2 linked regions of the Macaca mulatta genome follow. The protein of the gene in region 2 interacts with the protein of the main gene of each other region in a biochemical or structural test. Links are inferred from orthologs where the notes say so. Each region holds a gene or a part of one and is shown on either strand. Other genes may lie near its edges.

The links. The genes of interacting proteins can lie anywhere in the genome.
Region 1: the proteins of KIT (region 2) and GRB7 form a complex in vitro, tested with the Homo sapiens proteins (3 studies listed by BioGRID and IntAct, with this or other methods). The link is inferred for Macaca mulatta from reciprocal best matches to the Homo sapiens genes KIT and GRB7.

What each region holds. Positions count from the first base shown.
Region 1 is NC_133421.1:64,090,945-64,094,909, reverse strand, and holds the start of GRB7 (growth factor receptor-bound protein 7), read right to left. Parts: upstream 2,805-3,965; 5' UTR 2,374-2,804; intron 2,156-2,373; exon of another isoform or gene 2,115-2,155; intron 1,936-2,114; exon of another isoform or gene 1,585-1,935; intron 1-1,584. UniProt on the Homo sapiens protein: Adapter protein that interacts with the cytoplasmic domain of numerous receptor kinases and modulates down-stream signaling. Promotes activation of down-stream protein kinases, including STAT3, AKT1, MAPK1 and/or MAPK3. Promotes activation of HRAS.
Region 2 is NC_133410.1:78,765,781-78,769,292, forward strand, and holds part of KIT (mast/stem cell growth factor receptor Kit), read right to left. Parts: intron 1,968-3,512; coding exon 1,774-1,967; intron 565-1,773; coding exon 458-564; intron 367-457; coding exon 240-366; intron 1-239. UniProt on the Homo sapiens protein: Tyrosine-protein kinase that acts as a cell-surface receptor for the cytokine KITLG/SCF and plays an essential role in the regulation of cell survival and proliferation, hematopoiesis, stem cell maintenance, gametogenesis, mast cell development, migration and function, and in melanogenesis.

The sequences.
Region 1 (3,965 bases), on a different chromosome or scaffold from region 2:
CTTGCCAGGGAGTCCCTCACCTGGGAAAGAGAGAGGCAATGCCCGGCCTGGATTCAGAGGCCCATTTGGAGAGAAGCCAGTGTCCCAGCGGTGCCCCTCCCCACCCAAAGCATCGCTCAGAGCCCCCGCCCCGTGTGGATGAGGTTCCTCCCGACACATTCTCCTGGGTGTCCTGGCCAGAGGGGTACCACAGGAGCAGGAGCAGAAAGGGAAAACACTCAAAAAGACAGACAGGATGAAGGGCCAGGGAGGGGGCCCAGGGTCTGGCCAGGAGGGGCAAGATATACCCGCCACCCGCTAGCAAGAGACACCAGCACCTCAATATCAGAACACGATCCCCCACTCCCACCCCAGTCTACCCTCCAAACAGCCCCGGTCTCCAAACAGCCCTGGTGACTTCATTCCAGGTTGCAGGGGGCCAACAGTGGGATGGGGAGAGGAGCAGAGAATTCAGGAGGGCAGCGATTGGAAGGGGTTAGAAGTGGATTTGAATCACATTACAGCCTGGCCTCAGAGATCAGAGAGGGCCAGCCTAAGGCTGGGGTTTGCCTTCAGATCCCCCCACCCGGGCCCTTCAGCCCCTTCTAAGGCTGGAGGCGGGTGGAATCCTCAAGACCAAAGAGGCGAGCAGGGAGGGGAAGGGCTCCTGGCTGTAGGCCTGGCAGCTTAGAGATCTGGAGTTTTGAAACTGAGGCACCGGGAAAGTTTCGGTTGGAAAAACCGACCCCCAAAATCAGTTTGTCCCCTCAACGAGGTAACTCCGGCGGTGTCTTCCCAGCTGCCTCCTCCCCCAGTGGCTCCAGCCCCACCCGCGTTCCCGTCCTCCCAACCTCCTTGTTTACTTCCTGAATCACGCCCCACCTGGCTGGCCCTAAGGGCGGGTGGCGGGGCCCGGTGTTCAGGGCCAACAGAAAACAACTCTACTTCCCAGAGTAGGGGGAAGGGCTTGCGGGACTGAGGCCTGGGCCAGGGGCCTGGATGTGGCGGGAGCGTCCCTGTCCGCCCAGTACTCCACGCCCCGCCCCCACGGGACAGGCTTATAACCTTTTAGGGTGCAGGGCCCAGGTGAGAAGGTGAGAAACCCCTGGATGACTCCTAGTAGAAGGGAGGACCCAGGACTCTGAGGCCCCGCCCACTCTCACTCAGGAAAAATACCCAATGAGAGAAGGCGGGGCAGCTCTTTTAAAGTTTAATTCGGGAAGAATGCTGGAGTGTCTGTGCGGTTAATCATTACAGGCTGCCTGCTTCCATGAGGTCCCCCCACCCCGCACACAGCAGGATATCAGGAGAGAGCAGAGTCCAAGACCGGCGGACCAAAAGGGAGCATTCCTGGTGGGCAGTGAGGCTGGAGCGGGGCGGCGAGGGGGGGTTCCACCTTGCCGGCAGGTGCATTCTCTGTCCTCAATCTGCCAGGGAGACCCAGACCGGGTACCTGGGTCTCTCCTTAGCCTCATCAAGCAGAGGAAACCATCTGCCATCCCCTACCCCACTCTCCCCAGGCCCCACCGCACTGCAGAGCCCCTCACCCACCCCTCTAGCCTTCCTGGCCACTTCATGCTGAAGCCAGGAGGGACCCCGGCTCACCCGGCCTCCACTTTCCCACCCGAGGGCCGGAGGCGATGTTGCTGAGCAGGGCATACAGTCTGGAGAGATGGAGCCTCAACAATTTAGAGGATCCCTCTCCTTCACCGTCCTCCAAAGTGGAGGGGGCCCTCCCCACATCTCCCCGCAGCCCGCGGAGACGTCTGTCTTAGAGACTTGGGGAAACCCAAACTGGGGTAAACTGGGCGAGCCAGGGAGTGAGGGCGGCTCTCCCAGGGTGTGCGGGGAGGGGCCAGTTTCAGCGGGAAAGCCAAGTCGGAGGAGAGAATCAGGTCTTCCTTCCCATTCTCGCTGCTGGCTTCGGGGAGGTGTACCGGGAGGGAACAAGGAGGGCTGGAAACCAGGATGGGGACGAAAGAGGGCGGGTGGGGAGGAGGGGGCGGGGTGGGAGATGGGAGGAAAAGAGAAAAGTGGGAGGCCGAGCAACCCAGCAGGAGACCCAGCCTTTCCCTACCGGCCCCCAGACCGGCCGTGCCTGCCCCCAAAGGATGAATGCCCGCTTGGGTTCTTACCTGAACCCCGAACATCAGGACACCCGGCTGGGACCACGTCTTCAGGGAGGGAGACGCCAGGCCCTTAAGTACCTGTCCCCCTCCAGCCCCCGCCCCGGGCCTGACATCACCGAGCGGGGGAGGGGGAGAGCCAGGTGGCTCCAATCCGCCCACCTGGGCCGACGGCCAGTTCGGCCGGAGACGGGCACAGCCTGGGGCCCTGGTGCGGCTGGGGGTTGCCTGGCAGGCTGTTGTCTGAGACCGATCTCTGTCCCCTTACCTGGAGGAGCCCCAGCAGGAGTAGCAGGACACCCGTTCCGAAGTCTGGCTCCGTCTAGGAAACCCCAGATTCCTGGATTTTATTTCAGATCCACTCCCGCTTCTCTACAGGTGGTAGGAGGGTGTCCCGACTTCGGACAGAGAAGTCAGGGCCGGGGGAGCCCTGTGTGTCCAGATTCCAGGCCCAAGGAAACTAAAATTATCTTGGGCAGATGGGGGCGTGTCCAGGGGAGGCGCCTGGGAGGAGGAAGCCTGGGAGGAGGGTGGGGACTCCCTGACACTCTACGCCAACTGGGATTGTTTTTGCCCTTCCTAGCCTGGCAGCAGGTGCCAAGAGAGGGTGCAGGTGCCTAGGAAGAGGCGGGGAAGACAGCCGAACAGACAGCACCAACAGCGAAGATCAAGAGTCCCGACCACCTGGGAGGGCGGGGGGAGGGTCTGAGGGCTGCAAGGTAAAGGGAACCACCGGTCCACTCCTCCCAAACATCCTCCCTGAACCTGGTCTGTTCATTGGCCAAGCCAGGGGGCACTTCTGCAGCTCTGGATCCCACCCCATGGGGCAAAGAGCACCCTGCCAAGGAGGGACGCCAGCCACGGGGGTGTCCAGCAACATGGCCTGCCCGTCGATCTGCAGGCACCCATACCATGGTGGCTGTGCCCTGGCCCCTCAGAGGCACCCAGGGTAAGCCCCTCTCCCGCCCCCCACCTTCTGAGCAAAGTCCAGAGTCTTGGCTTCCCCTTTAAAATCGAGGGGCTTAGGCTGGGTGGCACAGTGGGAGAAGCCATGGTGACCCAGAGAAAGCTCTGGCCTGGGCCCCTGGAGATTCCTCTTAGAGGGATCACTTTATTTTTTTGAGACAGAGTCCTGCTCTGTCACCCAAGCTGGAGTGCAGTGGCGCCATCTCGGCTTACTGCAAACTCCGCCTCCTGGGTTCAAAAGATTCTCCTGCCTCGGCCTCCCGAGTAGCTGGGATTACAGGCCACACACCCAGCTAATTTTTGTATTTTTAGTAAATCGGGGTTTCTCCACGTTGGCCACGTTGGTCTCGAACTCCTGACCTCGTGTAATCTGCCCACCTCGGCCTCCCAAAGTGTTAGGATTACAGGTGTGTGCCACCGCACCCGGCCTGAGGGATCGATTTAGTTCTCTCAGGGATCACTTTAGCTCTCTAGTTCAGCACTGGGCAAACAGGGTACTTGGGAGAAGGGTTGGGAGGCAGAAATCAAAGGCTGTGGCCACCACCCAGCTTGATGCGGGTGACAGGAAAACAAACAATCCTTAGGGTGATAAGAGGTCCACCATGGGGGGGGCACAGAGGAGTGACTCCTGCCTCAATTTTCTCCAGAGTTTTCCTAGGAAAACCGGTATGAATGTGCCCAGCAAAGAAGTGGGGGAGGAGGCAAGGTCTCTTGGGTGATGGAGCAGCTTGTGCAAAGGCAGAGTAGACAATTCACTCATTAATTTATTCAACTCTCTGTTCAGTACCTACCATATGCCAGCCCCATGTTTGGTGCTGGGCATACTGGGGTAAGCAACAAAAACAGACCCCGCCCTATCCTCACACAGCCAATCAGGAAGATTGATGTTAATCA
Region 2 (3,512 bases):
GTGGTGGAATTGAAGGATCATTTATGTAGTTTCAAAATCAATAAAGGAATTAAAAACAATTTTGTCTAGAGACATTTTCCTACAATGTTCTCTATGCCAAACCTATCAAAAGGGGTGCAATTTCACAGAAAACTCATTGTTTCAGGTGGAACAAAACAAAGGAAGCTACTGGAGTTCCTTAAAGTCATTGTTATGTGTACCCAAAAAGGTGACATGGAAAGCCCCTGTTTCATACTGACCAAAACTCAGCCTGTTTCTGGGAAACTCCCATTTGTGATCATAAGGAAGTTGTGTTGGGTCTATGTAAACGTAATTGTTTCCATTTATCTCCTCAACAACCTTCCACTGTACTTCATACATGGGTTTCTGTGGGGAGAAAGGGGAAAATGGATCACCTTTTAAGAATTATTGTCGGAGTCATTAGAGCACTCTGGAGAGAGAACAAATAAATGGTTACCTGTAAATATTTGTAGGTGAGAATCATCACAATAATGCACATCATGCCAGCTACGATTACAAAACCAATCAGCAAAGGAGTGAACAGGGTGTGGGGATGGATTTGCTCTAAAATCAAACAGAAATGTGGAATCACAAACTTTGGCAGGATGGGATCTCTACCACAGCCACTCATTCCCAAACTGACCTCCCAACTCACAGCCCATGGCAGGAAGCAAAGCTATGTGACTCTCAGAGCTTCACCTTGGTTACATCGTACTCTTGTTATTCAAATGAATCTTTAAAAATATAACTTGAAACCAGAATACTGCAGAATAGAAGTTGAGATTTCTGTAGAAAAGGAATAATTTATGCTGTTTTTCAATGAAAAGCAACATCTGAATGCACTTTGTACTTCAATCAAATCCCTGCCTTGTACAACTTTTAAAAAGAAGCTTCCTTTATGGATGGTTTATATTTTCTTCTTTACACTTTCCTGTATTTTCTAAATTTTCTACACTGAGCATGAATGTCTTTCACAACAAAAAAAAAACACCATTTTTAAGGTATGCTTTTCGTTGCCCCGTCTGAAAAATCGATGATGTAGAACAATGGAAGATTCTTCCCCTCATTACTCAAAACCTGAGAAAATACGCCACTTTTTGGCACTAGTCTTTGCTGACTCAAAAAAACAAACAAACAAACAAACAAAACAAACAAAAAAAACACAAAAAACAAACAAAACCCAAGAAGGCCTAAAAAGTAAGTGCCCACTTTCTTTGTCTTCCCACTTTGTACCAATTCAGCAATTTGCCCACAAGGAACTTTTAACTTATGTTAAGAGAGTTAGTCACACATGAATCAAATTTTAAATATTTTAAAGAAATAACTTGCTAACATGACTTCATAAAGGCAGTGTTAACTTTTGGATACAGTGTCTGGCAAAGTGTTAAAATAATTCACTTTAAATAATTGAAATTTTTAATTGAATTTAAATGTTAGATTGTTCTAATTCTGTTTGGGTGTAAGGTAAATATATTCCCCCCCATTTGCTTTCTCTACCCCTTTTTAATGGAGACAATTGTAAATATACAACTAATATAAAAGAGGCGCACATACATATAAAATATATAAAGTAGCATGGTTAAAAGTGCTCTGGTAAAAACATATACTTAACAAGCTAGTACAAAATGAAACATAGCGAGTTTGATGACAGTATGGTGTGATGTACGTATTACCAGAAATGACATGGTCAATGTTGGAATGAACTTAAAATCATGATTGATATGGTAGACAGAGCCTAAACATCCCCTTAAATTGGATTAAAAAGAAATATACCTTTGTTGTTACCTTTAAATGCAAAGTTAAAATAGGCAGAAGTCTTGCCCACATCGTTGTAAGCCTTACATTCAACCGTGCCATTGTGCTTGAATGCACTAGAATCTATGGAACTCTGAACCACTAGTTTTCCAAACGGTGGCCCAGATGCGTTTAGTGTCTGCACATCCACTGGCAGTACAGAAGCAGAGCATCTAAAGGGAAGAAAACAAAAGCCCAGGTTTACTCTAGGAAAATAAATAAATACATAAGACCCTTGGGACGTGGCACACTTTTAAAACAAAGTTAGAGGTTCATAATCAACAGAAAATGTCCTTTTACAAGTGTCTAAGAATAAGCACTTTGGTGACCTAGTGAGTGAAAAAAGCACTGGGGAAGAGAAGAAAGGGCAGAGGAGGCTTTGGAGTCAGATGTGGGTTTGAATCCTGATGAGTTAAAGACTGAGTTTCTACCACTGTAAAACGGGGATGGTAATACCCATTGCAGAGGGTTACTGAAAGGACTGGAAAGGAATTCAATAAAATGGCAGGCATATATGCTGGTACACAGCAGATCCCTAAAATAAACAAGCTTCAAAAGGGTACATGAATGGTTGAAAATAAATAGCATAGAGGAGGAAATCATAAAAAATCTTCAAGGGACTGAGCGCAGTAGCTCACACCTATAATCTCAGCACTTTAGAAGGCCGAGGCGGGCAGATCACCTGAAGTCAGGAGTTCGAGACCAGACTGGCCAACACAGTGAAACTCTATCTCTACTAAAAATACAGAAATTAGTTGGGCGTGGTGGCAGGCACCTGTAATCCCAGCTACTCAGAGGCTGAGGCAGGAGAATCACTTGAACCCAGGAGGCAGAGGTTGCAGTGAGCCAAGATCACTCCACTGTACTCCAGCCTGGGCAACAGAGTGAGACTCCGTCTCAACAACAACAAAAAAATCAAGAATGTAGACCAGGAAATAGTCAGAGTGATGACCGAAGTGTGAGTTCTAAGCAGGAAGGCCTAGTTGTACTGCAAGTGGCTGAGACCACCACTGCAAGGGATCTTTTCATGAGCCAGACCCCAACTTCCCTATTCTAAACACCTAGCTATTTCCTGTTTCCCTTCTTAACACCTACATACATTCACTGTTTATTCCATCTATTATGTGTCTCTACCCACTAGAACAAGCTTGTCCCACCTGCAGCCCACATGTGGCTCACAACAGCTTTGAATGCGACCCAACACAAATTCATAAAGCTTAAAACATTATGAGTTTTGTTTGCAATTTTTGTTTTAGCTCATCAGCTATCATTAGTGTTACTGTTTTTTATGTGCGGCCTAAGACAGTCGTTTTCTTCCTATGTGGCCCAGGGAAGCCAAAAGATTGAACACCCCTGCACTAGAATATAAACTCATAAAGGCAAAAAGACTTGGGTATGTTCTGTCCATTAGAACAGTGTCTGGTACACACTCGCCACTCCCTGTGTATCTACTGAATTAATGCCTGTAACTACAGGGCTTGCTTCCGCTGTGGTCATTCCTCCCAGGGGCTCCTTAGTATTCCCCAAAAGAAAACACTCTTGGAGCAAGATGGCCGAATAGGAACAGCTCCAGTCTCCAACTCCCAGCACGAGCGACACAGAAGACCGGTGATTTCTGCATTTTCTTTTTTTTTTTTTTTTGTTGAGACAGAGTCTCGCTTTGTCGCCCAGACTGGAGTGCAGTGGCCGGATCTCAGCTCACTGCAAGCTCCGCCTCC